Linked DNA regions of Oryzias latipes. The protein of the gene in region 1 purifies or fractionates together with the protein of each later gene. This does not show direct contact. Links are inferred from orthologs where the notes say so. Each region holds a gene or a part of one and is shown in the gene's direction. Other genes may lie near its edges.

Region 1 (5,389 bases):
ATCATTCAGGATCCTGGAGAGGAGCAGAAGGAACGGTTTGAAGAGCTCACAGAGATGGAGAGAAGAAGATTCATAGTTTTGCACCATTTTCCAGAATACTTTGAATCATGTTTCAGTAAAAGTATACTTTTTTTTAATCCACCATCATAGTTCAAACTATGGCAGGAAAATTCTGTTTATAATAGAATTGTTTTTTAGGCACTGACATCTCTGTTGACGGTTTACAGAAAGACATGCAGCCAGAGTTCCCGCTTTTCCTCTGCTTGGAGTTAAGAACACATGACTGTTCGCTGTGTTGTTTTTGGTCATGTTCAGAGGTGATAACTTAAAAATGATCAGAGCTGTATTAGTTTTTCGTTGCAGCAGAAAATGATTGAGCTGCATGAAAACATTTAAAAATGTGTTGACAGCATGCATTTTGTGTGAAAGGCTTCAGCACTAGAAGGTGTTTTCAAATTAAAAGGAGAAAAAGAAAATCAATTTCAAACCTGCTGATCCTCTTTGAGGTCACTGGATCCTTTGGTGAAGGCTGTACACACTCCAGATGGGTTACCAGTCCATTGCAGGGCCACACAGTCACAGACATTGTGAATCATCAATTAACCTAAATATGTTTGCACATGCCTGAGTGCCAGGATAAAACCCACACATGCTTGGGGTAAACTTGTAAACTTGACTCAGAAAAGACCCGGCTGGGATGTGAGCCAGGCCCTACTGAGGCAAAAGAACAAATCACTACACCACTGTTCTACTTTAGTAGCGAATACAGGACTAATGAGCTTTTTTGTAAAAAGAAAAAGATATATATATATGCATTCTTTTGCACGGAGGGATTCAAACATGTTTTAACATAAAAAATGACAATAAACTGAGAAAATCATTAAGTGTCAGAATAAAATCATTTTTAGGGCAACATTCAATTCTATTAGCAATAAGTGGTAGACTTTGAGTTTATTTGATTAAGTATAACTGAGCATAACAAGTATAGCCGGTATACACATGTAGTGTAGGGAATATACTAACTGAATACATCTATAGACTAAATTGGAACATTTTAAGTTTACTATATATACATTTATCTTCTTCCGTTTTGTACCTTTTGGGGTCACAGGGCTGCCGAAGCCTTTCCACATGTTACGGGCAAAGGCAGGGGACACCCTGGACAGGTCGCCAGCCCAGTCTGTCTAAGTTTAAAATATATAGATATAAAAAGTAAACTTCAAGTCCACTGCCTCACTTTTAGCCTACTTGAAGTGCATTTAAGGATACTAAATTTTGTTAACCCTTAACAGATTTTGTACTTTCTACTATACATACATCCAACCTATAGCAGCATGCTTGGTAAAATGATGCTCAAGTATACTTAAAAAATAAGCTTCAGTGTACTGTTTGTTTTTGTAAAGGATTGTTTTTGAGATCCTCTTGATTCTTCTTCTTTTTGTTTTGCGTTAAAAAAGTGTTTTCCTTGTTTAGATGCAAACAATAAAGTAGTGTATGTTTTTATCTACAAATGTTTTTATTTTAATAGCTCTAGAAGAACGGAGTTAGATATCCGGGTAAGGGAAGTGACCTAAGAAGAGCGTGATCACGTGACCCAAAGTTGTCTTGGGAGCGCATCTGACACGTACTCGTTTATCCAATCAGAATCGCCGCAGCCGCCCAGCGCAGCCAATCGGTTTGCAGCGAGCGAGGATTTAAACCACGACTCGTGCGTTGGAATCTTCACCTTCTCCGCTTCAATTTCGTGGTTGTTTGTGGAAGAGAAGCAGGCAAAGGCATGGCTCTGAGAGTTACCAGGGTAAGTCTGAACCACGTTACACGTTCCTCTCTGTTTTTACCGGAAAAGAACGATTTCAGGAAGCGCGTCTTTCTCTGGTTTTAAATGTTTTGACGTGTTTTCTGACTGGACTGTCATGTGGCTGTATGTGAGCGGAAGCTAGAGGTCAAATATTGTTGGCTTGAATTTATTGAACGTGCTGCTTCACCACTGCAGGTTTATCTCGAGCGCGCCTTGTTTTGTCCGTTTTCTCGCTGCAGAACCGACTGGCCTCCACCCGGGCCGAACTGGGCGGAAAGACGTGCTCGGTGGCCGGGCCTACACAGAAGCCCCGCGCGGCCCTCGGAGAAATCGGAAACGTCGCAGTTATTAACAAAGATGTCACGAAAAAGGTAAAATCTTTTTTTTTTTTTTTTAAAAATCCTATATAAATGTATTTTCCACTTATCGAAGTAAAGTGATTAACCTTTTTTTGGGGCAAGTTTGGTGTAGAAGTGAGGGGTTGGGCCTGTTCTGATGAGAAAATGTCTACTGTGCTGAACTGGGGCCCTTAGTCAAGTATAAAATGCATCCCAGGTTGGAGGAGCACAGTTAACCTGGAACTATGTCTAAGAATGTACACCATCAATTGTAAATTTAAATCTTTGCTAAAAAAACAACAACTTGAGTTTGAATGCACATTTGTTAAGAGAAACTCTTGTTACTGCTGTACTATCAGCTCAATGCGCAGAGCTTCAAAACCTGTACAGCTAGGACTTGTGGCTTTGGCCTGCAGCTGTAGAGATTTCCCAAACTGTGCAAGAAGCAAAGAACTCAAATGAAAAGATCCCAGCTCTGTAAAATGCATAGCAGTATTTGGGTTTGACCTTTCTTTCTTCAGACTATCAAGACGGAGGTTGCTAAGAAGACAAAGATCCCAGCTAAAGCTGAGAAGATCGAGCTACCAAAAGCTGCTGTGGTCCCTGTTAAACCAGCACCTGAAGTGCAGGTGACTGAGGTGAGTTGGTGTCATTGGTTGTCACACACCTGGTTGGGACATTTGTCCTGCGTGGTTGACCCATCCTCTGGGGGCAGCAGTGAGCTCCAGGCATGGTTGTGCTTCGGAGCCATATGGTGGGTTAACCACTCCCAATCCAACCCCTTACAGACCCACTCTGATTGTGGCCTCTTTCTTATAAAAGATTCATCTAAAGAAAATGAGATTGAAATTTCATTTCTGATTACTTTATTCAAATGTTGTGAATTGAGAAAAAAAATGCTGTTTGTTTGGATAAGGGCTTATTTGTGAGGTAGAAAATCCCACCGGCAGGTCACCAGCTCCCTTCTGATGTGTCCACTTGAATCAAGCAGGGAGGCTTTGGTTCCATCCGAAGTCTTTGCTGTGACTCCACTGGTTTTGAACCCTCTGCCTACCAGTCTTGGGGCAGACGCTCTACCACTAGGGTGACGTGTAATGATTTGACATGACCTTCTCACAGGTGCCAGCCCAGGCTGAACGTGCATCCCCCACCCCCATGGAGACCTCTGGATGTGAGTCTGCTGACCTCTGTCAAGCATTTTCAGATGTCATCCTCAACACGGCCATCAGGGACGTGGATGCAGATGACTACGACAACCCCATGCTCTGCAGTGAATATGTTAAGGACATCTACAAGTACCTCCGTCAGCTTGAGGTCGGACTAAAACCCGGAAAGCTGCATTCCTGATGTGTGCCGTTTCCCTAAAGAGACGTTTGTTCTCCTGTAGATGGAGCAGAGCGTAAAGCCAAACTACCTTGAGGGTCAGGAGATCACCGGAAACATGCGAGCCATCCTCATTGACTGGCTGGTACAAGTGGGCCTCAAGTTCCGTCTGCTGCAGGAGACCATGTACATGACTGTGGGAATAATCGACCGCTTTCTTCAGGTGAGTCTGTCAGTGTTCCTCTACAGACTAGATGTGCTCCATAATTCAATAAAAAAAAATAATTTCATAACAGATGTCCTCTAACTGACTTGTGTGCTGAGATTTTTCTTTTATTTTGTCTGCGGTCCTTTCAACAGGACCATCCAGTCCCCAAGAAGCAGCTGCAGCTGGTTGGCGTGACCGCCATGTTCCTGGCCTCCAAATACGAGGAGATGTACCCTCCGGAGATCTCAGACTTTGCCTACGTGACGGACAGGGCTTACACCACTGCTCAGATCAGAGACATGGAAATGACTATTCTGCGAGTGCTGAAGTTTCAGCTGGGCCGCCCCCTCCCGCTGCAGTTCCTCAGAAGGGCCTCCAAGATCTATGAGGTGTGGCGCGGTGTCGGTGCGGCAAACTGTTCTCTTCCACCACTGCATGTGCTGAGGTGAAGGTGGGATTTTATTTTTCTTCAGGTAACTGCTGAACAACACACCCTGGCCAAATACCTGCTGGAGCTCTCCATGGTTGACTACGACATGGCTCATTTCCCGCCCTCATTGGTGGCGAGTGCAGCTCTGGCGCTGACTCTCAAGGTCCTGGATGCAGGGGAATGGGTGAGTGACACTTGAAGGGTTTGCTCTCATCGCTGACTTGCCTGGGACAGCATTGGATATGAATGTCTTCCTTCCCAGGATGTGACACTGCAGCATTACATGGAGTACACAGCAGAGACCCTGACACCTGTTATGGCGCACATCGCTAAGAATGTCGTGAAAGTCAACAATGGGCAAACTAAACACATGGTAATCTTTTATTTTTTAATCCTATTGTAAGCCATAACTTGCACAAACTCTAACAGTTATGCCCCCTACAGGCCATCAAAGGAAAATACTCTACATCAAAGCAGATGAGGATCGCCACCATCTCTCAGCTCAAATCCTCTGTGGTGAAAGATCTGGCAACGCAGATTTCTTAGTGAGGACAGCACAGTGTGCTGCCGTGTACAGATGGACTGTTGCTGGGATTCTTGGGATTGGGCTTTTTACCGACTACAGTTTTGTTTTTATTTTAAAAGTGTGCCTGAAGTTGTGACAGACAGCCCTCAATCACAGTAGTTTCACCAAAAGCATCCAACTCCTTGGAGCTCAGTCGGCTACATCTGACCACAGAAATGCACAAACTTGTTTTTATCTCTATATCACTTGTTAGCTAGCCGGCTGAACTCCTGACCCAGCAGGCAAATGTTTCTAAACATGTGGATTTACAACAATATGCTACCTGTGTTGAGGTGACTATGTAATATGTACAGTTATTCTTTTAAATTTTTGTTGTATGGGATGTTTCTGATTTTTATTTTTTTTTAAATGTATATTAAATGGCCTTATTCTAAGATTAGTTCCTGTTGTGATTTTATTTCTCCACTAGGGGGTGCTCTAAGAACAGTCTGCAGATGTTTGAGGATTTAAATGTTGGTATTTAGACCATAAGTTTAAAAAGATACAGTTTAATGTTTTAGCTATATCCTGTTGGGTTAAAATCAATTTCTTCACCAAGATTAGTCCAAAAGTGGATGTTGTGTAAAACGCTGTCTAAAGAACTAAATTTTAAATTCTTTACTCTATTTCAAATACTATTTTCTGAAATGTTTTTGTAAATTTACTCAGTGTTGCAGTATTAAAGATGACTACTGTAAAATTGAGGACGCCCATTTCTGACTTATTT
Region 2 (4,248 bases), on another chromosome or scaffold:
TAATTTAATCCAGGTTTGAGCAGTCCAGGTCCAGTGGTTTTTGAACAGGACCCGGTCTAAGGTGGACTCAGTGCGTAAAATACGATAAAAATCAACCTATTTCACATTTTCACAAATCAGAGGAAGGTTTCACAAATCAGAAACTGTGTTTAATGTATTCTTCAGTATCTAAATCATAATTTAATCCAGGTTTGAGCAGTCTAGGTCCAGCAGTTTTTGAACCGGACCCCATCTAAGGAGATCTTAGTGCAAAAAAAACAGTGGAATGCTCCTTTAGTGCACTCGCGAATCGGAAGCTGTGAATCGGATGCTAACTTCAGCGTCGTTGATCCAACATTCTGGTTATATGAATTAAAAAAGTTTCCTGGTAACTTATTAAATCAAAAAAAAGTTTTCCAGAAGTCCTATCTAGGGTGTTTTGATGCGCGCGCGCGTCCTCCGCGTGAGTACGGCGGTGACAGCCCCGTTTGAATGGGGGACACGTGCTCCAGGTTCACGTGGAGCCTCGTAGTAACCGAACGGGGCTGGTCCAAACCCGGATTCATACTCTCCCGCCATGGCCTGAACGCCCGCCCCGATGGGAGTCGGCCGCGCCCCCAGTGACCCCGCCCCGAAGAGACAACAGAAGCTTTATGTCGGTCTATGACGTCATGAAAAGTCTGGGTTACTCTGCTAGATCACCGTTCCAGCCTCAATGGAAGAATCAAAACATTCAAAAATAAGATATTTAATGTCAATATCCATCAGTCTGAGCTTTAAGAACAGCGGGATTATAATGTGGAGAAACCTAAATATTAATTTAAACATTATCACTAAAGAACTGGAAATAGTTTTAAACCAGATAAAGGAAAATATTCATATTTTTGGTATAAATTGTTTTCTAAAGTGTTTTTTAAAACAAAAAAAAAACAGGAACAACCATTTTTAATTTATGTATTATAATAAAATCATATCTAACAAGCTGCTGGGGGTTTGTTTGCTGTCTATCCTCATTTTCTGCTCTCTTTAAAAAAAAAACAACAAGCTTTACTGTGGACTATTTTGTCCTCCTGGATAACCAGCCTGGCCTGGGATGGACTTCCTTTTTTCCTAAAAAGGAAAATGTCCTGTTCAGGGTGATGCGGTCTGTCATGCAGACTGAGGTGGAAGGACACCTCTGGTGGTGGATCTGTCATTGCCACTCTGCCCCCTAGTGGCGGCTCTGTGTTGTCGGCCTGTCAGATTATGTCCAGGCATGTACCGATGATTCAGCCTCTCCTAAGAGGGAGGGAGGAGAGGAGAGGCACAGCTCTGCTTTTCTCTGATGGTCTGTAGAGTGAACAGTCATGGTGAGCTCGGAACTTTTTACACTTTGGGTTTTTCTTTGACTCTTTTACTGCTTTACATGATCCATCTCATCATCATATGACATCTGAGATCTAACCAGGAGTGTTCTGTGTTCAAACAGTGCAGAACCATGGCTGCTCCAAAGCGGATTCCCGCCGCTCCCAGGAGGCCCGCGAGGCGAAACCTGTTTGGCCCGGTGGACCGGGAGCAGCTTCAGCTGGAGTACCAGGCCGCCCTGCGGAAAGACCTGGACGAAGCGTCCCTTCGCTGGGGCTTCGACTTCCGCTCCGACAAGCCCCTGGAGGGCAGCCACTTCCTGTGGGAGAGCGTCCCGGGGGCCGGAGTGCCGCTGCTGTACCGCTGTCAGGATGCTGGACGGGTCCAGAAGACGGCGGAGACCAGGACCCCCCCCAAGAGACGAAGATCTGAGCTGCCGCAGAGGGAGAAGGAGAACATCCCACTGACAGAGAACATCTTCAACGTGGAGAAAACACCAGAGAAGGAGGAGAAGGCCGGGATGAAGAGGAAACAGACAAACATCACAGGTGCTTTCATTTGTTTTGAATCGTGTTCTTATGACGCTTTATTGACGATGGAGGACATTTATAAAGAAAAGCTTAGTATTTAATTGTTCAAAGCAGATAAAAAATGTTAGAAAAAGAGAGTATCTGCATTCATTTACAGACAAATAGGTCCAAAAAACTTTTTTAGTCCCTCGTCTGAGCTAGAAGAGTAATGTGAGGGGCTGTAAGCCAGCTAGAGAGGGTACAAATAGATGGATAATGGGAGGTAGGGGCGGGGTTACTCTGAGCTAATGCCCCGCCCACATCTCAGAGGTGACGACAAGATTATTTCATTTTGGCTAAAAAAGGCATAATCGTAATCAAAAGACGACAGGGAAGGCTTTTCTCAAAATATGATGGGAGTGGAACGTTCAGCTGCGTCTGTGTCGTTGCACCGATTCCCCCTGAGCTCAGTGTCGCTTTCATCCCTGCAGATTTCTACCAAGCTAAACGACGAATGGTCTGGATGCCGCGGAAATCGGGCGAGTGACGGAGGAGCGCACACGCCACGCCCCACTCAGAAGCCACGCCCTCCGCAGGAGTCCGTACCTGTGAACTCGGGAGGGGTTCAGCTACATTTCACTGCTCAGTTAATTAGGCTACTGTATGTGGGGGGGGATCGGTGCCTTTCCCTGGGCTAAGAAGGGGACATTTGAGCAGAGAAGATTAACGGTAATCCACGGAATCAGTGGATTTATCCTCATTTGGATCAAGCGGTTGCCAAAGTGATGACAGACATTTTCGCCGCTGTACATTCCACATCTCGGCTCCCACCCACAGGAGAGGAGGAAGATGTACAGCATGTGTTAAAATCACAATGTCCCCCCTTTTTTTATGCTGAAGTGAAGAGTTTTATATGAACTATTGGGAAAAAGAGATTCAACGTCTCCAAGTCTAGAGACGCTCTGCTTCCATCACGAACCACAAACCTGCATTTCCCTTCATGTCCTGTCTCTTATTCGTCAAATTCATCTGCTGCTCTGTCCTGACGTGTGAATGGCTCTGGATTATGAATGTTCAGTGTGTAGCAATTTATCTCTTTGGAGCATTAACCCCTTGTGCTATGTTGTTGGGTCAAAATGACCCCACCCTTACATTGACGTGTTATCCCTACCATGAGAAATGTAGATAAAGGTGGAGAGGATTTCATGTAAACATTGAAAAAAAAGGTTCAGCTCACTGTCTTGTGGGGTCCAGATGACCCCACTTCCAACTGGGGTCACCTGGACCCCACAAGACGGTGAGCTGTACAAGCCAATATGTCTAGTAGGGTCCAGATGACCCCACTCCCAACGTTAACGTGCTCCCAAGGCATGTTAACGTTGGGAGTGGGGTCATCTGGACCCTACTAGATAGCACAAGGGTTATAGATATATATTCAGCATATATCAGATGTATTTGAGTAGTATAAATCTAAAAACATTGCAGTATTGCACAGAAGTTGTACTTGTAGGTATTTTAAGGTGCGTAAAGGACGATCAGGAACAGTATTTTCAGGTCCAAATGTATTCGTGAGGAAGGTTTTTCCATCAGGAGCAAAGGTGTCATGGATGGAACTACTGCTCTCCGCTTGTAAACGACATATCTGTCCAGCAAATCCTGCTGCTCCGCCTAATCTGGATGAGAGTCATGTAAGGTCACTTTAATCATGTATGAACTGACGGCTTCGAAAAGAGCAAACCTGCCCCAATGCACTTCTGCTGATGCTTCTGGTCATGCGATCACTTTTCAGCTCCTCAGGAGTCGACTCTTATTTATTGTGTTATTCATCGTGTTTGTGTGGATCCGTGATAAATCTGAAATAAAAGGCTGATGGTTTTTCTGGATCCTAACTCAATCCAAGGAGAGGAAGAGGTGATGAAGCGCTGAAGGAGTTTTATCTGTGTTTTTCTACACACACCTTTATTTTCTTCAACACAATTGTTGGGTTATTCGTGCTGGGAGTTGAGGTAATAAACAACACGGCAGGAGTGGGTTGATGATCTCAAAGCAGCTGTGACCACAGTCACCAAGAAAACCATTGGTGATACTTCTTGCTGCAATCCTGATTATAGTTAAACAAGTAAAAGAAAGAGACAAAGAGCAGAGAGGAGGCGTAAAAACAGTGAATGGAGATCCGTCCTCGCCCCCTCCAGCAGATCAACTGCAGCCTTCTCTCTGTTGGCTTTACTTTGCATTTTATGGCAATCTGCTTTAGTGTTATATGTCTGTTCTGGAGGAAATTCCCAATATGTTCTGCAGGTACAATAGAGGACAATCTGTCATCTGTAGATTTATTTGAACAGTGAGAGATAGAAAATCACAAAGCACATCAAACAAACGTATATACATTTATTTAGATTTCATCAAGGGACTCCAG
Region 3 (4,824 bases), on another chromosome or scaffold:
AAGCAGAACGACAGTAACCTGTGCCAAAGCAGAACGACAGTAACCTGTGCCAAAGCAGAACGACAGCATCCTGTGCCAAAGCAGAACGACCGTATCCTGTGCCAAAGCAGAACGACAGCAACCTGTGCCAAAGCAGAACGACCGTATCCTGTGCCAAAGCAGAACGACAGTAACCTGTGCCAAAGCAGAATGACAGCAACCTGTGCCAAAGCAGAACGACAGTAACCTGTGCCAAAGCAGAACGACAGTAACCTGTGCCAAAGCAGAACGACCGTATCCTGTGCCAAAGCAGAACGACAGTAACCTGTGCCAAAGCAGAATGACAGCAACCTGTGCCAAAGCAGAACGACAGCAACCTGTGCCGACTGTTTTTTTCTTAGCTGCACTCAGATTTAGAACCCAGTCGCGTTGATTCTCAGTTTAAAGTTTAACCCGTTCTCTTTATTTTTTTATGCACCGCTACTTAAAGGAGAAACCATAAAAGCATTTTTACTTTTTGTTACTAGTTGCAGTAGAACTGGTCTCAAATCTACTATTATCATTCACTGATTCTGAAACACTTCAATTTAGTTTAATTGTGTCTGTTGGCCACTTCACCTTAATCCTGTTCCTTAAATGTTGTTATTGCTTCTTCTTAAATTTAACATCTAAAATAATCCAGACGTTATTAGAAAAGTGTTTCAATTAGAAAGATGACTTGGACCAAACTCTGGGATGTTTGGCTGTTAAGAAACACAAACCTTGAAGGAGAACTAAACTGTTGACCTTTGATTTCATCAAGAAGATTTAAAAACTGTTGAATGTGTGTTCGTTGTGATTTCAAGACGTTTAACAGGGAAGACTCATTGTAGCGCAAAGTAGGGCTGGGAATCACAGGGTACCTCAAGATACGATACGATTTGCGATACATTGCTCACGATAACGATACTATCACGATATGGCGAAAATCTCGTCTCTAATTACGCTCGATATATAAACTTTAAGAAAAAGAATTTGAAAGGGTTATTTTGGAAAATATTTCCCCATTTATTTTTTAAAAACCATGATAATAAACAACGTGTCGTGTGTCCTATTTGGTGTAATGAATAACAGACTTTTGTGTAGCATTGCTGAAATCAGTAACACTCTGTCTTTGACAACCAATGATAATTTTCTTTTGGAAATATTTGTACAATTTGGTTTAAACAATAGTGAACATGAACAGCAGCCATTATTTAGTACAAAATTGCTGTAAACACGATAGAAAATGAATAAGTCCAGTAGATGCCAGGCACATTGGTATTAACTTTTGAAAAACAAACCCATAGCCATCATATTATTTAAAAAATAGCTGTGAATCAGATACTAATTCTGTGAACAAACTATAGTGTTTTTGTTAAAAATAAATGACACCATTTAGTGCAAATGTGGTGTAAACAAAAATATAATTCTCCCAGAAAAAAAAAAAATCAAGTAGCTAGAAACTTTCCTTTAAGTTATTTAAGACATAAACTGTTTTCTAAATAAATGACCAGGGATAAAATACGTGAAGAACTTAAAGTGCATCCAAAAGGAAACATCTTTGTGAACAACACGATTGGGGAAAAGCTGCATGTGATGTTCTGGAGAACCACAGGCTTTTTAGTGTCAAGACGCTGCTCATCTACCGCTGCTTTGAGGAGAAGGGCGGTCTAAGGGCAGGGATGCCTCTCTTTCTTCCGTTTCCATGTCAACCATAGCTCTGGTCTGGGCGTACAGCGCAGGGATCCTTTTTTCAGTATTTCCTAGAGGGAATGTCAAAGCGTTACTCCAATGCATTCAATAAAAGCCCAAATCCCTCGTTCTCCACCTCGCTGCAGGAAGGACGGACACCGTTTTCCATTTGTATTGCCAGTTCTCTGTCTTGCAGAAAACGGCGGTAGCTTCGTCTGGAAAAAGGTATCCGCGCCGGGCCGTGTCGGCTTCAGGCCAGCAACAGCCACGACTTTCTCACACAATTCCGTTGATGCAGCTTCAATGGTGCCGGCGCGTCTTTAAGTTGCTGCTCTAGCTTCTCATTGTTTTTCCGCTCCACCATCTTTGTTTGAATGTGTATTCTTTGTCCACCTGCAACAGCTAATCTTGCAAAGAGCGCCCCCTATCGACCCTCCGAAGAATCGTCTTAGCAAAGGATGATTAATATAACGTCTTACAGGGTCTTTAAACGTAAATAAAAGGTTGATACTTGATGAAGACGTCTCGAGAATCAATCGCGGGACTAAATATCGCGATATATCACCATATCGATATTTTGGCACACCCCTAGCGCAGAGATGCTGTCACTTTAACCCAATGCATCATGGGAGATGTAATGATGGCAGACAGACTCTTCTCTGAGCTTCATTTTATGTTCACTTGTTCCACGGTCTGATACCAGATTCTGTGGAAAGCTACACCACTAAAGACGAGCTTTAGCTGGTATTGTTGTTGGAACTGAGAGACTTTATAAGCAGAATCAGAACAAGGAAGTGAAGACTTTAACCACTTCTCATTGGTCAGACTGATGACGAATGATTAAGCCTCCAAGAATGATTGGCGGAGACAGTTAAAGGGGGCGGGACTTTTCCAAAAACAGAGCTGAATCTGCAGCTAAATCGCGGTACCGTCATTCTTATGAATGTGTCTTAAATAGAATCAAATAAACACGCAGAAAAAAGTATTTTATGATCTTTTATATTCCTAACTATTCAGGGTTTAATCAGGGCCTGTTTGGATGAACACAGAGCCTATATCCTGGAGATGGTAAATGTTTTTAGATCAGTTAATGAGGGTCATTTCCCACGGCACACTAGTGTGCCGCAGCACACTGGTTGAAAAATACTGGTTTAGACCACGATATGGACTTAATGTGTGTTAATGAATCACAGAGATTTGCAGGGATTTTTTATACCTCCAACAGGTGTGTGCATTTCTAAATATCTGTTGGATCGGGTGGTGTGTGGTTGGGTAACTACAGACAAGTGTGTTCTGCTTCTTAGACCTGCTATTTTTTTCTTCAGGCCGCGGTGTGGCAGGCACTGAACCACTATGCCTACCTGGATGCAGTTTTTCTTGCCGAGAGACTCTATGCTGAAGGTAACATGTCCCGCTGGCAAGCCAAGATTCCTCCTACTTGCTCACCTGTCTATCTCCCCCCTGGCAGTGAGGTCAGAAGAGGCTCTCTACCTGCTGGCTACCTGCTACCACCGCTCAGGAAAGCCCTACAAGGCGTACCGGCTGCTAAAAGCTCACAGCTGCTCCACGCCACAGGTTCGATTCCTGCTGGCAAAGTGCTGTGTGGAGCTGAGCAAGTAAGAACTGAGTCCCACTGTACAACATGGTGCCTATGTTGGCCAATAAATACATTTCAGTTTCACTTTAACTTTCAGTCTCTGTACTGTTGGTCTGCCTTGTTTCTCTGTATCTGAGTGACTGTGTCTTTCTGTCTTTCTCTGCCCATTTGTTTGTCTGTCTTTCTGTCTGTACGCCAGTCTGTCTTTCTGTCTGTACGACAGTCTGTCTTTCTGTCTGTACGACAGTCAGTCTTTCTGTCTGTACGCCATTCTGTCTTTCTGTCTGTACGCCATTCTGTCTTTCTGTCTGTACGCCATTCTGTCTTTCTGTCTGTACGCCATTCTGTCTTTCTGTCTGTACCCCAGTCTGTCTTTCTGTCTGTACGCCATTCTGTCTTTCTGTCTGTACGCCATTCTGTCTTTCTGTCTGTACGCCATTCTGTCTTTCTGTCTGTACGCCATTCTGTCTTTCTGTCTGTACGCCATTCTGTCTTTCTGTCTGTACGCCATTCTGTCTTTCTGTCTGTACGCCAGTCTGTCTTTCTGTCTGTACGCCAGTCTGTCTTTCTGTCTGTACCCCAGTCTGTCTTTCTGTCTGTACCCCAGTCTGTCTTTCTGTCTGTACGCCAGTCAGTCTTTCTGTCTGTACGCCATTTAGGGTTGTGCCGATGGACGATATCATCGTCCATCGTGATGGGTGACTAACATCCCGATGGAGAGACCACCATCGTGATGCCACGCCCCCGCCACGTTGCGCGTCGACACCATAAGCCGCGGTTACATGTACAAAATATCTTGATGGGATCAATGGTCGGATTAGAATCCAACCGTGTAGATGGGCCCAGAAAAATGTTTTCAGAATATAAAAACGTTCACTAAGGTCACAATTTCGGTCGGAATAAATCATTCGCACATGCGCAGTATTCGCACATGCGCAGTTTGAAAACCGGAAGGGGATACAACTTCCGCCGAGCGGCTTTTTTTCCAAACTTTATTGGATGTAACAATTCAATACAAAACGATAACAGCACCGAGCGGCTATATATATTGACATGTCAGCTCGGTAAAATACGAGATGATCTTCTAAACGTGCTTTTAATAATGTTACGGTTATTATCAAACACCTGTTCGCTCATCATTTGAATTTTAATCCGTGTGGTCAGTGCTTTTTCTGAACGGAGCCAGGATTAGCAGTATGCTAACACGGGCTAACAACATTAGCTTTGGGTGGCGCTGCACGTAAACGTGTAAGAATAACATCAGCCTTTATTTAGTCGGGACACGACTGGAAACACAAATCCACGTGATTGTTTGAATGTTTTCTAAGGACTGAGCGACATTTCTGCTTTGATGCTCAAACCGCTGTGTGTGCTGACGATCCGAGCTGTGCTCAGACACACGTTTAGACCCGGTTCTGAGTTCGGTTGCTTGTACCCCTAGAGCTGCGGGACGGATCGCAGTCTTAAATCTCCCACACATACCGCTCATGTACCCCCCTCCCATCAAACACAAAGCTTTAAGTCCGCGCTCCGCC
Region 4 (5,506 bases), on another chromosome or scaffold:
ACCTGAAAAGGTAGGTACTATGGGACATCACCGATTGGACGATGATGTTTGAGTTTTAAAGATGAAAAGCATAAGGATGTTTGGCTCAAAACTGCGGTGGAGTTGATTGAGCAACCACTGAACTTTGACTGTGATCAGAAACTCGAAGACAAATCATCTAATGTAGTTTTTGCATTGACTGATTTGTTGATTGGATTTGCTCATCAGGGTCACTGTAATAAACACACGTAACATAAAAAAATAGCTTTAAAATTCAGCAGTGTCCCTCTTTTATTGGCTTTATAGCTCTTGAGTCAATTGCCTGTAATGTGTTGTAGCCCAACTACTGGATTCCCACTCGATCAAAGCATTAAATCTGTTACCAAATGGGGACAAAAACAATCACATTGGTTTGGTGCACATATGTATATTCATGTTTATGCTAAACTTGTTCTGTGGACTTTTCCATTTGCTTTACCATGAAAGTCTCAAAAAGTTGCTTTTTATTATTATTTTTTTCTTTACATACAAACACCAGCGTTTGTGCAAAGATTTGTGTTCACACATTTCCACCAAACCTTTTTTTCCCCTAGATGTTGTCGGAGGAATCAAATCCACTAAATGTTGAAATACACAAAGATTTCTATCCTGCTGCTTTGGGTTTGGTTGAAAACACTTGAAATGAATGGGATTTGGATCCTGACTGAGCCGTCGTGTTCGCTTGCAGGTACCAGATGGTTTCAGACGGAGCCGTGTGGATCAACCACACACGGGCGGACAAACCGGAGCAGGTTCTCGTCCCCAAACTCCACGTCCTGTCCAACGGACTCACTCTGCTCAGAGTGGGCAAGAGGAACTACTACATCATCAAGTGGCTCGGTCTTTGAGGCTGCACCGCCCACCGCAGTGCCTGTACGCCGTAAAGGACTTACAGGCAAGGTAGGCGACTAAAGCAGACTGTAGCGGACTCATAATGGTGACTCTGTAAGTCCATGTGGCCTTTGTTAAAAATGTAATCGTACAGACAACTTTAGTATTTAAAGGTATTAAAAGATTTGTGCTTCCAGAGTTGTGTGTTAGATGAAGCTCTAGGGGGCGCTGTTGGCTTGACAGTGGTTGAGTGAACACTGCTGCACCTCCTATCCTGCTCTGACCCTTTGAGTAAATAATTGCTCACAGCTAAATTAGATTGCATCATTTCTGTCAAAAGGCTTTTGGTTCTATTTAAAGACGACTGCGCCACTTTCAATTTAAGCATCAAGCTGCCCTCTATTCTCATTTAGGGGTGTTTATTTTTTTTTGCATGTGAATAAAAAGTAAAAACTAAGAAGCTTTATGATAAATCTGGAAAAAAACAGTTGACTTTAGGATAGCAGAAATTTATTTTCATCTTTATATGTTATTACTTCATATATAAATATTTTCAGTCAATAATTCCGATATATGTACAGATTTTGTTACGGTAAGAAAATTTTTTAGAATTAAAATGTTTATTAGGCTTTTACTAAATCAGCTCAGTTTGGGGTCCTCTTACTGGACTTTATCTCCATTTAGGACCACAGGTTCATTTATTAGTGTCCATTGAAAGAATATGATGCAACAATTTCAGTTTTGTTTTGGATTTTACTCCATTTTAATTGTATTTATTAATTTTACTGTACATCCAAAATGTTTAAAATAAATACTGAATATGTGTGTTTTAGAACATATTGGCACTATTTGTATGGTTGCAATCCAATTTTTTTCTTCAAATTTAGATGTCTTAAAATGTTTAATCCATTTTACTTTTTGAAACTTGTACATTAAGTTACATCAAATGTGTGAACTTATTTACTTTGTAAAAAAAATAAAAAAGGTAAGTAATATGTTTAGAACAGCATGCCTTATGCAATTATTCGGTCTACCTTAAATAAAGTGGGCGGGTCTAAAGAGCTCCATCCAATGAGTGCGCTTCTTGGGTTTTAAATGGCTCCGTATGTCAATCATGTGTAACCCTCCTCCCCCTCCCTCCAAAGTCAACCTCCCCTCTCAATCCCCACTACATGTCTCAATCGCCATATTGGGTACCGAGAGGTTCGCCTCCGCTTCCCGCTGTACGGAGCGACGTTGACAGCGAGCTTTGGTTCGTTCTCCCGTCGTTTGGATGATTGGCGTAAGCCGTCTTCGGCTCAGGAAATCGCAGCCGTGTTTGCCTCCAGCTCGACGTGCGCATGGTCGTTTCACGCCTGTTTTGGATCTTTCCCCGTGACTAGGAGGACATACCTTTTTTTTCTTTTCTTTTTTCTTCTTGAGGTGTGTTTTTCGCCTGAAAACTGGACGCTCCCGGCTGCTTGAAATTTTTACCTTTTTTCCGGGGGGCTTAACCATGTCTAACGTTCGACTTTCGAGCGGGAGCCCGACTTTGGAGAGGACGGAGCCCCGGGTGTCGGAACACCCGAAGCCGTCAGCCTGCAGGAGCCTCTTCGGCTCGGTGGACCACGAAGAGTTAAAGAGGGATTTAAATGTACATTTGCGGGAGTTTGAAGAGGCTGCCTCCGCCAAGTGGGGCTTCGACTTCGCGACTGACACACCGCTGCCCAACAGCAGGCTGGAGTGGGAGCTGGTGAACGCCAGAGACCTGCCGAGTTTCTACACCCGCCTGCCGCGGCGAGAACGAGGCGTTTGCCCCGGGAATAACAATGTGGATCTAAACGGGAATCATGACTGTGTCGGGACAGTTCCCAGCCGCTCTGACGCTCAGATGGAGTGCACGGAGCAGTGCGGCGGGCTGAGGAAGAGACCTGCGTGTCACGGTATGACATTAGCATCAAACGACCCGTTGCTGTGTAACAGATCGCCGGGCGGCAGCTTTGTGCTCGCGGTACTGGTATGCGGGATGAGGGGGTCGTAAAGCGGGGGAAACTGCCGTAAAATCCCAGAGAACATTGAGCACCCCGACCATTTTTTTCTCTCTGTAATATATAGTTTATTTTACTCATTTATTTATTTTTGCAGACCCTTCGGCCCCAAGTAAGAAGTCTCACACCAGCCCGGAGGAGGTTAGCTGTCCGAGCCTGAGCCAGTCTGCAGAACACACACCCAGAAAGACCAGCCCCAAGAGACCAACGTGAGCACGGCGACACGGTGAGCGAACCACTTCAATTTAAAAAAAACTGTTAACCTCGAATTTAAAAAAAAAAAAAGATATTAAATTTTACATCATTTTTTTTTTTATTTGTATTGACGCATTCTAGCGCAAAAAAGTGAAGTCTGTTTATTAAACCAAGAGGATTTATATGACACGCCAATAAAGAATTTTTAAAAAAAAAAGTTTTTTCCTCCTTGCGGCCGATGTTCGTCTGCTGAACTGTAAACAACAAGCTGAACAACAGTGTAGTAGTAACACGTCAGCAGCCAGTGGCCTCCGCGCGGACGGGAAGGGGCAGGTCTCTGAGCGCGCGCGCGCAGAAACACACGCAGACATGTACACTCCCTGCTGCAGAGGAGAGTACGAGAGTTCTGCAGGTCTACTATGACCCACAAGAGAGAAGGAGCACAGAAACCTGCTCTAAGCTGTCAGGTGTGAACCTTTAAAGGTTGTGGCAAAAAAAGTCAAGGTTAAATTAGCGGAACTTTGACTTCGATTTATCTTTAAGTAAAAAAAAATCCCATGTTCATTTTCGTCTCTTCTTAGTAAAAATAAAAGTTAACAGAACTGAAAAAATTGCACGTTTTTGTAAATGGTATGCAGCCGAGCTTTATTTGAGTTGATAGTTTTGTTTTGTTTTTGGAAATGACTAGTTTCTTCTTTTTTTTCAGTCATACCTCAGAACACTGTCAATACTTTAGCAGTAGTAGTTGCATCTCCTAAAAGAAAAAAAAGTACTAACCTTTCAACCTCTTTGTTTTTGTCTTTTGTTCTGATCTCCAACAGAGCTCAAGATGTGCCCCTCCCAGTTTTTTTTTCTCTGTACGAGTGTGTTTGCGTATGCGTGCATGTGTTTTTTTTTGTTTTTTTGTTTTTAAGACTGCGTTGATCTTTTTTTTTTTTTTTTAATTATTCTTTCCTTTTTTTGGACGAGGATCTACACAGCATCAGAAACATATCAGCTCTCCTGAGGACGGGGGAGGACGCTGTTGAAGCACTGAAGAGAAACACTAAAGTTTGTGGCACTCATTGAAATGTTACTGCCTCTAACAGCAGTCCATGTAGCAGCGTGCAATTAGGTTTGATTTTTTTCTTTTTTTAACTACCTGTGTGTAAATAATTTAATAAATAAATATATATGTTTTCTATGTAGCACATAAAAACATTGATTTTTTTTTTTTTTTAATCCTTTGTGTAAAAGAGGTGTGAATTTTGATTTGACTTGAAGTGTTCGGTTTGAAACATGTTTCCAAAATGCTGTTCTGTTTGCATTTTATTATTATTATTAATATTTTTGAAAGGCACTGTGGTGTTGACCCAGTCCATAAATGCTACATTTAAAAAAAAAGAAAGAAAATCATGGTTTTAGTTTCTCAACAGTGTGCCTTTATGCCGTCATCTTCCTAACTCAACAGCAAGGAATGGTACAAATGTAGCTCATCTGCCTAATGAACGTGTTTTTCTTTTCTTCCCTTTTTTGTGTTGAGGCCACTTTTTCTTTTTTCTTTTTTTTAAAGATCCACAGGAAATGGCACAGGATGAAATTAAAAATTTCAGCAAGTACCTTTTATTTTCCTTTTTTTTTTTTTAATATTTATTTTAAAATTGGAGTTCTGATGCTTTTATTTTGTAAATGTTTCGATCCCCAGAGTTGTGAGGCACTCATTTTTTTTTTGAAGGACAAAGACCATGCACATGTTTCCAGGCTGTCAAACCTAAGTTAAATGTTTCTCCTGTACCAAATACACACTCGCTTTTATTTGGTTTTCAGAGTTGACTTCACATCGTATGACTTTGTGATAACCTTGAATGCTTTTATTTGTTTTCCACCCTTGTTAACCTGCTAAAGATGGAGGTTCCGGCTTCCAAAAGCTTCTTTGTTTCCCCGCTAACATCTGGTTTATCTTCAAAGACAGCAGGCTCCACCTGGATGGAGACACAAAACGGCGCGTCTCACAAACGCAGTCATGTGATCGTGTAAACCTTTACAGTGTACATGCGTACATATTTTTGTAAAAAATAAAATAAAAAAGACACTGAGAAATTATACTAACTTATTTATGTCAAACTTTTTTTTTTTAAATGTAGAGTAATTCTTTTTTTAAGTTACGGTTATCCAAAGTGGCATTTACTTTATAAATTTCTGGGTAGTTTTTTTTTTTTTTTGTCAAAAAGGTTGCAAACTGAGCCTGATAAAATATTTGTTCATTTTGTAATGTGTGGTTATAAAATGTGTTGCAATCAATTAAAAGAGAATTGAATCTGACTTTTTTTTTTGTTCACATTTATGGAAATTTGTTACATTTAAGTACACGGATACCACATTTATTTTTCCTTAAATCTTTTGGAAAAATTCTCACAGATTCAGAGCTAAGAATGCAAAAGATCTGGAAGTAGGAA
Region 5 (4,824 bases), on another chromosome or scaffold:
ATGCTCTGTAAAGCTGGTCACCACAGCCTGGCGGTTAGCTTCTTGAGTGAGATGGAGGTGAAGGTTTCTCAGTGTGTTGGTTATCCGTGCACACCACTGGTGCTGGGTAAATGGGGAGTAAAAGTTCATTCGGAGATAACCTCAGGCAGACAGAATGGCCAGCCGCTGACAGAGTGTGCTAGAGTGCTGAGGTCTCTCTCGGTTGACCTGAGTGGCGTTGGGGGGCGCGCTCTTCTGGAGGCGTGTGGTCTCGTTTTGTGGGCTGTTGAAAGCAGAAGTGAGAAGGGATTGAGTGGACCTGTGCTCCTTGCTTTCTATTCTTTTCTTGAGGAGTACCAAGAGTATATACTAAAAATGTTAGACAAGGTTTGTATTTTTTGTAAAGAAAAGCTTTTCCCAGCTGTTAAATAAGATCTCTTTAGTAGTTTTTTTTTTTTTTTCTCCAGACTTTGTCGAAGCATTTGGACAGCAGGAGACTGCAGCAGACCCTGTGCTTCAGCATTTACCAGAGCTTTGTATTTGCTTATGAGAGCATGCTGGCATCGCAGGTGAGAACAATACTTGATGGCGAAAGACTAATTCACCCCTCATGATGCTAGCGTTTGGTTGTAAACACGTCTTTACTCTAAAAACCTTTTCCCAGCTGGAGGAGCCGGACCTCCTGCAGAGAGTGCTGCTCTACTGCCAGTCTACAACTGGACTGCTGATGAAGGAACTTCAGAAGTTGGCCAATGAAAATCTATTCACCAAAGCAGGTTTTTTAATATCGTCTGTTTGGAGGTTCTGCCTTTCAGGGGTGTTGTGTTTCATTGGTAGGACCTTTTGTGTTGCAGTGGTTGCTGTGAGCAACATGGTATGTGGTTTGTACAACCGTCACCTGTACGATCAAGCCTTCACCATAGTGGAGATCCTCTGCAAAGATCTCTGCCAGAAGCACGCCGTTTCATTGTCTGTTGATAGGGTGAGTGTCAAAAACATTACTCCTCAATGTTGGCTAAACCATTTTGCAGAAACGTGCTGTTATTTGAATTTGTAAATTTCTGATATAATTTCTGATCTCCATACGTGGTCCACGAATATCAACTAACTTTGTGGCAATAGGATGCAGTCCAATTCTTTTACCTAAATGAATACAATCTACATCAGGGGTCGGCAGCCTTCACCACTCAAAGAGCCATTTGGATCAGTTTCCCACAGAAAATCAAACACAGGGAGCCACAACAGCCTTTGGAAAACCCGGTGTTTCCAGTGAACGGCAGCATTTCACTTGTTTTTAGAGTTTGTGAAGTGATGTTCATTTTTATTTGTATCCTCTGTCATTTCATGGGTTCAGATGAGAAACTTTTCCAGAGAGTCATCAGATCTAACAAATTTGTGGTCATTAACCAGCAGTTAATCTGCTTCTCCCATAGATTTTTGTCAACAAACAGACTTATTTTCTCATTGGGATCAGGATGTTTTTGGGCATAAACTGTGTGTTTATTCTGGGATGTCTCTCCACATTTGATATTTTGTTGTTTGCCAATTCTTTATTATATATCAATCATACTGGTAAAGTTGTTGAAGGCAAACAAATCTACCCAGTTGCCATTAAATACCGTAAATTCCGGACTATACAGCGCACCCGATTACAAGCAGCACCCACCCATTTTAAAGTGTTTAACTAGTTTTGTACATACACAAGCCGCATCAGAGTACAAGCCGCATGTATTGGGCAGCATGATCATCCTGACAAATCACATCCTGATTCCTAGGATAAGTGTGACTCAGTAACATACTGTGGCTGGGCCAGCCTTGCCTGAGGCTCATGTATTTAAGTACACCCACATCTGCCTAACAGCATGGACCTCTACTCTGTTCACAAGTTTCTCAGTTATGTTTTTTTTTTTTTTTTTTTTGTTTCTTTTACTTATTGACAATCTAGGTATCATACATAAAATTACAAACAGTAACCATGTAATCAACATTACATCCCTCAGTTATGATGAGGAAACTTACATCCGCGATCCCCCATTTCCCATGAGTCTTAGGGGCTAAAGGCGGGGCCAACGCCCGGCTTGCCACACTGTTGTACGTGTTTAAGAATGAGCAAGTATCAGCAGTGCATGGAGGGGTGAACGGGAACAGCTCTCCTTCCACTTGTGTCGCGGCAGCGTTATGGGAATAACAGGGCTGGTTAAAAACACACACCACTAAAATAAAGCAGCGGCGAACTTCTGACGCGCGCGCCTCAGCGCGGCGCGCGCGTCAGAAGTTTCCGTCCAAAACAAACAAACACGCCTCTGCGCTCCGCGCTCGCCAAGCGGGCTCCTTGTCTCCCCTTCCTATCCGAAAATCTCACACGGCGGCTGTGAGCTTTTTAATGCAAAATGCCGCTCAGTCCTTAGAAACCGTGAAACGATCACGTGGATTTGTGTTTCCAGTTGTGTCCCGACAAAATAAAGGCTGATGTTATTCACACATATTTACGTGCAGCCAGCCGAGTCACTATGACTCAGAGGTAAATACACTTCTGAGCATGCGCTGTTCTCTCCTTCACGCAGCTGACCGGCTTTTCCAAACCCGTTGGTGATGGTTGATTTTTTTCACGCTGCTTTTAACTTGAAAGCTTCATCATATTGTAGCGGCGATCACGTGCACGTTGGGTCTAATGGCACCAAAGGATTCTGGGATGCGGCAGGGCATGCGTGTTTCGTTTTGTTGAACCATGACTGAAGTGTCTTAGACCTGAACTCAGGTCCATGCTGTTTGGCTGCTTAGAGGTGTGTTACAAAACTAATAACTCGTGCTTGGTGTTAGACAGAGAATTCAAACCATCCACCGAGTCTGTAAGTGCGAACATGGCGGCCGTCAATTAAATCCATAAATTAGCCGCGTCACTGAATAAGCCGCAGGGCTGTAAGCGCAGGAAAAAAGCAGCGGCTTATAGTCCGGAAATTACGGTAGACTGTTTTCCTCAGGAATTTCCATTTTCTCGAAATTCTCCATCCTTATCCTACCTGGGTCGGAACATTGTTTGGATCTCACGCCGGCGGGAGTCGTGGCGGTGATGCGGGATGATAGTTTAGATTTTTTTAATCCTAATATTTAACCGCTCCAGAGACGAGCAGCTCACCTGGTTCCGACCCGCTCCTGGTTCCGAACCGCTCCTGGTTCCGACCTGCTCACAAAATACAACAGGACGACCCGGCGAGGTTCTGCATCATGAGGCCTTTATCCACTCAGCTGCAGGTTGCCGACTCCTTATCCAGATATTTATTGTTCTTTTGGCATTAAACCTATGAATGAAAATGCCTTTTTAAAAGAGACATTTTGTTATTTTTTTTCTTCTTTTTTTTTGCAGGCCCTTTTTATTTTGAGCAATAAAACCAAAAAAACAAACAAAGGACAGAACAACTTAAAAACATGACATAAAAACCTGTATTTTGTGTATTTTAGAGTGTTCGGTTCTCTGTGGTTAAATAAAAAGTTTGTCCTATTAATTTATTTAGCTATTTGAAGTGCTGTGAAAAATTGTTTATCATATTTTTAGTGAACACAAAACTGTGGTTCACCTTCAGCCAATTGGAATTGACCTGACTTAGTAGAAGCAAGCGTGTGATTGGATGTCTTTTGGTTTACATCACGTTTAGAAAAAGACAGTGACAGAAACACAACAGGAAAAGAAATCGATTATTTAGTTCTGGGTTGATTTTATACCTCTTTACCAACGTAATCTTGTTTGTATCTATGGTTGTTACCGCTGTTACTCCCAGTAATAGATGAATTTTTGAGACGTTTCTGCATCCTTTACGTCCCTAGTTTTAGATCTGGCTTTACTGCTTGTGAATAATGCTGTTGAATTGTTGCCGCCCAGTTGAATCGACCCTTCATGCTGGCTGTGCAAACGTCTCGCCGGGCCGGGCAGCTGGACCGAGCCCTGCAGTGGGTGATTCTGTGGCTGAAAGCTCTTGGAGACAACATCACCACTCACATGTCCGAGCCTGTGTCTCTTTGGGTGAAAACCAAGACTGATGCAGTCAATAATTCTGATGAAGACATAAGACTCAGGTAGCAACAAGTCCTATGATGAAGAAATGTTTTTTTTTCTAGTTGAAGTAAAGCCCCTCCTGTCTTCCCTCCCTTGTTCTCCTGTATCGCGATGGTTCAGAACGTTGCGTGACGGCTTTGGTGCTGATGTTCCTGATGAGCAAATCATGCTTTGCCTTTTGGAGGAAGAGTTGCGTACGTACAAGGAGTTGCCAAGAGACACAGCCCAAGAGCGTTACAACACTCTCTGTGATCTCCTGGACATCTGTAATGAGGAAAGTTCTCACAGCCATCGCCGTGCTCTCTACCTCTGTGAAATGGCTCAGGTTGTGTGCTTCCAGGACTTTGGAGAACACACCGACTGGTAAGAGCGTTTCTATGTATTTTCCATAATTTACTAATCAATACTTGGTAGAATGTCTTTTTCATTTTATGCCTTGTGCCCCTATGTTCACACCATGGGAATGAAACTGATCCTCTCTGGCCATGTTTGCTGGGCACTAAAATGATGGAAATCTCAATGGTTTCCTTTGTGTCCACACAGTGCTGCAGTTGATTTCACGCGTGAAGCTCTGCGTCTGCTTGGAGACGAGGTCGAGACTCCGGAGAACTCTGACAGACTGAAGGATGACAAAGCCCACGCTGAACTTTGGCTTTTTATCTGCAGTTTGGAGAAACATCTTCAAGAGGTGATCCGCCTTTGATCATCTGAATTTTCATCATTCTCTTTGTATTTCTCCTAAGCAATCATTGAGCAAATTTTGTTAAATATCTTTTGGTGACTAATTGAGATTT
Region 6 (4,009 bases), on another chromosome or scaffold:
TGCTGAGAACAAAGCCCCAGGCACAGGTCTGTAGCTGAAAGTAGTGTGAAGCCTGTTTTCCTTCCAAATTCCAAAGCCTTAACTGGTTCTTTTTGTGTTTTGATGCAGATGAGCCTGCAGCCTGGGCGTACCTGTGTGATCTCCTCTCAGCACTGGAGCACTTGCACTCTCATGGCTTTGTGCATCTGGACCTCAAGCCTGCCAACGTTCTCATCACAGATTCAGGTCGACTCAAGTTGGGGGACTTTGGGCTTCTGATGGAGCTCAACGACTTAAACACTGAATCGCCATATTTGAAGGCAAAGGAGGATTTCCAGGAAGGAGATCCTCGATACATGGCCCCTGAGCTGCTGCGGGGAGAGTATGGACCTGCTTCAGATGTCTTCAGGTAAGGATATTATTTACCTATACTTTAAAATACAAAATTTGGACTGTAACCTTTTTTTTTTGTAGTTTGGGTGTTTCTATTCTGGAACTTGCTTGTAATATTGAGGTTCCAAATGGTGGTGAGGGATGGCAGCAACTCAGACAGGGCCATCTTCCCTCAGAGTTCACAAACGGTGAGGATGACTTTCTTATAACCATTAAAAATGTTTACTAAGCTTAAATTAATAACAGACTTCTGCTTTTACCATTTTAAAGTTTCCCCACAAATGCAAAACATTTCCCTTTTTTTTTTATTTTACTGTAAAACATAGTCGAGCCTTTACAGAAATGATTTGACTCTTGAAAACTGTGTTTCTAAACATGTTTGCAGGCTTGTCTGCTGAGCTTCAGTCAGTCCTCCGGATGATGCTGGCTCCAAAGCCGACCCAGAGACCCAGCGCCTCTGAACTTCTTTCCCTTCCCTCTGTTAGGAAACATAGATGGAAGAGGCGCTGTTGTCTCATGTTTGCTGAGGCTATGCTGACACTGGCCTCCCTTTGTCAAGTAAGCGCTACATAGTTTTTCAGTATTTCTTTACACCATTTAAATAAGTATAAAGCAGAAAAATTGTGTTTAAAGACCCACTCCAATCATCTTTTGATCTATTTTAAAAGTGTTCCCAGTGGTCTGTTAATTATGATTATGTTGTTATTAGCTAAAGTAAAAAAAGATGTGTTGTTTTCTAGGACATAGTTTCTGCAGAACAGCAGTTCTTTGTTTCAAATTCACCTGTAAGTTGTAGTGATGGGTAGATAAGGCCTTGTGAAGCATTCAGCACATTGCTCAAACTGAATTGATACTGTGTTACTCAATACTGACCCCTGCTGGACTGAAAACAACATGGCAGGCAACCAAGTTATGAAAATCCACTCAGAATCAGAAGTACTTTATTGATCCCACATGTGGGAAATTTGTGTCATATACTGATTAAACTAGTGTAAACAGTAACACAATATTTGTCATTGTAGTTGTGGCTTCCTCATTTCCATGTCTCGCTCTATAGTTCCCCAGCATTGAGGAGCTGCTTTTAAGTTTGATAGTTCTGCTGAACAAATGTGACATTTAACCTTCAAAACATAAAATGATTGACTTTAAATAACAATCAGGCGGAAACTGAGAGGGACGGGGGAGACAAAAAGCCAAAAACACAATTAAAACTATGAAATAATTCAACAAACCTAATTAAAACACCACATTTATCACCTTTAGGAAAGATTCATTAAAATAAAACGTCATACACCGGTGGGCGCGCATCTGCTACATGAAAGTTGTTGTTTTTTCCTACTCTGTTAAACTGGCCACTGGACTGATTTAAAACCCAAGTGACAGAAATGTAACAGAGAGGATCCAGTAATTTTTCAAATTAAAATATTTTTCAAAATAAAAGATGGCTTAGATGTGTAATAAAACTAAAAAAAAACTAAAACCCGCTAAATTGACATGAAACCTGCCCAAAGCAAATTTTCTATGCATTATTCATTCATTGATCTTCTAAAAGGTTTGTTCCCTTTCATGGTCACGGGGCTGGCGGAGCGTATCCCGGGGACGTCCTGGACAGGTCGCCAGTCTGTCGCAGTTCTAAACAATATCAAAATTTAAATTACCCGATTGGGCGGAAACTGCAGAATCTGGCAACCGTGCTGGTAGATGCGCTTCCTTGTTTGGCTTCTCTGTGACACACCGACAAAGTGGCTGTATTGGTCACCGGAGTTTTCCTGAAGCGATACGGACACCGACACTCGGGTTCACTTTTTAGGCTGTACTGTACTGTGTTAAAAACAGAATGACCAGATTGTCTTTTGTTTTCTCCCCTTTGTGATAGTCGGTGGTGTACTTCGGGTGCAGACTCCTTTCACCTTTTAACTTGCCCTTCCTCCCCCGCTGGACCGCGCCCAGGCCCTGTACTCCTCCTAGGGACAGTTGGGAGGGAGATCTAACACTTTCCCTCACCACTGTTCACTCCGACCCCTGCAGTCCACAGGATGATTCTGTGGTTTTTGCAGACACAGACCCAGAACTCTCCCCTGCCTTTTCACGCAGGTAGATCTCTTTACATTGCCTGCAGGTGTTCTTGTTTGTTTCTCCCTCCTTTAACTCCCTCTTTATGCACTTCTCCTCAGGGTTACATCCAGACTCTCTCTGGAAAGCACGTCCACGCCCCTCTCGGGGTCACCAGTACATAAACACGGGAGTCACGTCAGCACACCCACTCACTCAGCTATTGGGGACTGGTCCTGCCATTTGGGCCTGACCCCATCCAGCACTCATTCAGCCAACAAGAGCCAGCTTCACGGAGAGCGCCGTGGAAGTCCTTCATCCACCAAGTCCACAAGGCTCTGTGGTAGAAACTGGATCCTTGCAGGAGACACCTCACCCCGATCCAGCTTGGAGCCAAAGAACTTGCTTTCTCTGTTTGAGGAAATCACAGCTGAGTGAAGCCATAAGTAAAAACTGCCATTTTACACTAATGTAAGAAGTATTTTTCTGTTGAAATTCTCAGATGATGTCAAGTTATCTGCTTTGTATATAGTTTAGTGCTTTTTTTGTAATAGTCCTGCCACTGCTTGTATTAATATGTATTTAAAAAAAAAAGAGTGGATTCTGTTTGACCATACAAACACGCCTTAAGCAGTTGCTGTTTGATGTTAAAAGAGCATGGCATGATTTGTTCTGGAATGTTTTGCAGCATCATTAACCCTGAGACAATAAAAGCATGAATTTGGAGGTGAAATCACATTGTGGGCCATTTTGTGCTTCTAGCTCACCTGAATACAAAGCTTCCTGTAGTTTGTTTCTTAGTTCTTACAAGTTAATTGCTTTATTTGTTACCCCTTTTTCAATAAGAAATAACACTCTAAAGTCAGAAGACAAAAAAGTGTATTTCCAATCTTGACCGCTAGATGGCAGTAATAAAGTGCACGTTGTTTGGGTTATGTATTGATAAATAACATAAACACATATTTGAATGTATACTCTGTTCCTGTACAGATACTCAACAGAGCATACTTTGTGATTTAAAAAAAGAAAAAAAGTCACCTGACGTCTAAGACGATGTTAGGGAAGTTTCGGGGGGGGGGGGGTCCTCAAATTTCAGACATAACTGTAAAGCACTAACTCCAGTGATTTTTGCATGCAACGAATTTACTTGCGTGTGATTGGTAATATTAGTGAAAGAACTCATCAAATTAAAAGTTTCTATTTTTTTAACATTTCTTTAACAATAAAAAATGTTCGCAACTTGTGCCAGACATGTTATGAACACGCACATTTAAAGATACAAGTGAATAAAAAAATGACTAAAATTTGCTTTAGTTGTGATAGCAAAGCAATGAAACCCCCATCTTAACGAGTAACACAATAACAGAACATAGGCTTTTATTTTGAAGACCACTGTTGACATCAACCTTGTATTTCCGGGAGTTGCCAGCTGTTTTGTTGCGTTCAAGGTTTTGGGGTGTTTTGTTAGTAAAGACTGGGACGTTCATTCGCAGTTTTTAAGTCGATTTAATCTCTTCACGGGCTAAACGTTGCCAACTTTATCAGCACAGTAATTGTACAGCCGCGATTTTTTGACTCTCGAGGT

Evidence for each region.
Region 2: the proteins of ccnb1 (region 1) and cyclin-dependent kinase inhibitor 1-like purify together in Homo sapiens (affinity purification with western blotting; 8 studies listed by BioGRID and IntAct, with this or other methods). This does not show direct contact. The link is inferred for Oryzias latipes from reciprocal best matches to the Homo sapiens genes CCNB1 and CDKN1A.
Region 3: the proteins of ccnb1 (region 1) and cdc27 purify together in Homo sapiens (affinity purification with western blotting; 6 studies listed by BioGRID, with this or other methods). This does not show direct contact. The link is inferred for Oryzias latipes from reciprocal best matches to the Homo sapiens genes CCNB1 and CDC27.
Region 4: the proteins of ccnb1 (region 1) and cdkn1b purify together in Homo sapiens (affinity purification with mass spectrometry; 5 studies listed by BioGRID and IntAct, with this or other methods). This does not show direct contact. The link is inferred for Oryzias latipes from reciprocal best matches to the Homo sapiens genes CCNB1 and CDKN1B.
Region 5: the proteins of ccnb1 (region 1) and espl1 purify together in Homo sapiens (affinity purification with western blotting; 5 studies listed by BioGRID and IntAct, with this or other methods). This does not show direct contact. The link is inferred for Oryzias latipes from reciprocal best matches to the Homo sapiens genes CCNB1 and ESPL1.
Region 6: the proteins of ccnb1 (region 1) and pkmyt1 purify together in Homo sapiens (affinity purification with mass spectrometry; 5 studies listed by BioGRID and IntAct, with this or other methods). This does not show direct contact. The link is inferred for Oryzias latipes from reciprocal best matches to the Homo sapiens genes CCNB1 and PKMYT1.

The regions. Positions count from the first base shown.
Region 1 is NC_019870.2:25,679,043-25,684,431, forward strand, and holds ccnb1 (G2/mitotic-specific cyclin-B1), read left to right. Parts: upstream 1-1,689; 5' UTR 1,690-1,777; coding exon 1,778-1,798; intron 1,799-2,037; coding exon 2,038-2,169; intron 2,170-2,657; coding exon 2,658-2,774; intron 2,775-3,255; coding exon 3,256-3,450; intron 3,451-3,523; coding exon 3,524-3,682; intron 3,683-3,819; coding exon 3,820-4,056; coding exon of another isoform or gene 4,057-4,116; exon of another isoform or gene 4,117-4,140; coding exon 4,141-4,281; intron 4,282-4,359; coding exon 4,360-4,470; intron 4,471-4,541; coding exon 4,542-4,643; 3' UTR 4,644-5,062; downstream 5,063-5,389. UniProt on the Homo sapiens protein: Essential for the control of the cell cycle at the G2/M (mitosis) transition.
Region 2 is NC_019863.2:2,307,454-2,311,701, reverse strand, and holds cyclin-dependent kinase inhibitor 1-like, read left to right. Parts: upstream 1-1,443; 5' UTR 1,444-1,447; coding exon of another isoform or gene 1,448-1,456; coding exon 1,457-1,871; intron 1,872-2,323; coding exon 2,324-2,379; 3' UTR 2,380-2,424; downstream 2,425-4,248. UniProt on the Homo sapiens protein: Plays an important role in controlling cell cycle progression and DNA damage-induced G2 arrest. Involved in p53/TP53 mediated inhibition of cellular proliferation in response to DNA damage.
Region 3 is NC_019866.2:78,393-83,216, forward strand, and holds part of cdc27 (cell division cycle protein 27 homolog), read left to right. Parts: intron 1-3,017; coding exon of another isoform or gene 3,018-3,045; coding exon 3,046-3,308; intron 3,309-4,824. UniProt on the Homo sapiens protein: Component of the anaphase promoting complex/cyclosome (APC/C), a cell cycle-regulated E3 ubiquitin ligase that controls progression through mitosis and the G1 phase of the cell cycle.
Region 4 is NC_019864.2:11,435,594-11,441,099, forward strand, and holds cdkn1b (cyclin-dependent kinase inhibitor 1B), read left to right. Parts: upstream 1-2,023; 5' UTR 2,024-2,344; coding exon 2,345-2,771; intron 2,772-2,973; coding exon 2,974-3,089; 3' UTR 3,090-3,102; intron 3,103-3,892; 3' UTR 3,893-5,372; downstream 5,373-5,506. Other genes in the region: yars2 (tyrosine--tRNA ligase, mitochondrial), read left to right, coding at 707-866. UniProt on the Homo sapiens protein: Important regulator of cell cycle progression. Inhibits the kinase activity of CDK2 bound to cyclin A, but has little inhibitory activity on CDK2 bound to SPDYA. Involved in G1 arrest. Potent inhibitor of cyclin E- and cyclin A-CDK2 complexes.
Region 5 is NC_019863.2:4,428,903-4,433,726, forward strand, and holds part of espl1 (separin), read left to right. Parts: coding exon 1-366; intron 367-446; coding exon 447-548; intron 549-643; coding exon 644-755; intron 756-833; coding exon 834-961; intron 962-3,856; coding exon 3,857-4,050; intron 4,051-4,150; coding exon 4,151-4,393; intron 4,394-4,573; coding exon 4,574-4,718; intron 4,719-4,824. UniProt on the Homo sapiens protein: Caspase-like protease, which plays a central role in the chromosome segregation by cleaving the SCC1/RAD21 subunit of the cohesin complex at the onset of anaphase. During most of the cell cycle, it is inactivated by different mechanisms.
Region 6 is NC_019877.2:7,448,151-7,452,159, reverse strand, and holds the end of pkmyt1 (membrane-associated tyrosine- and threonine-specific cdc2-inhibitory kinase), read left to right. Parts: coding exon 1-26; intron 27-108; coding exon 109-388; intron 389-453; coding exon 454-560; intron 561-757; coding exon 758-930; intron 931-2,248; coding exon 2,249-2,466; intron 2,467-2,546; coding exon 2,547-2,862; 3' UTR 2,863-3,157; downstream 3,158-4,009. UniProt on the Homo sapiens protein: Acts as a negative regulator of entry into mitosis (G2 to M transition) by phosphorylation of the CDK1 kinase specifically when CDK1 is complexed to cyclins. Mediates phosphorylation of CDK1 predominantly on 'Thr-14'. Also involved in Golgi fragmentation.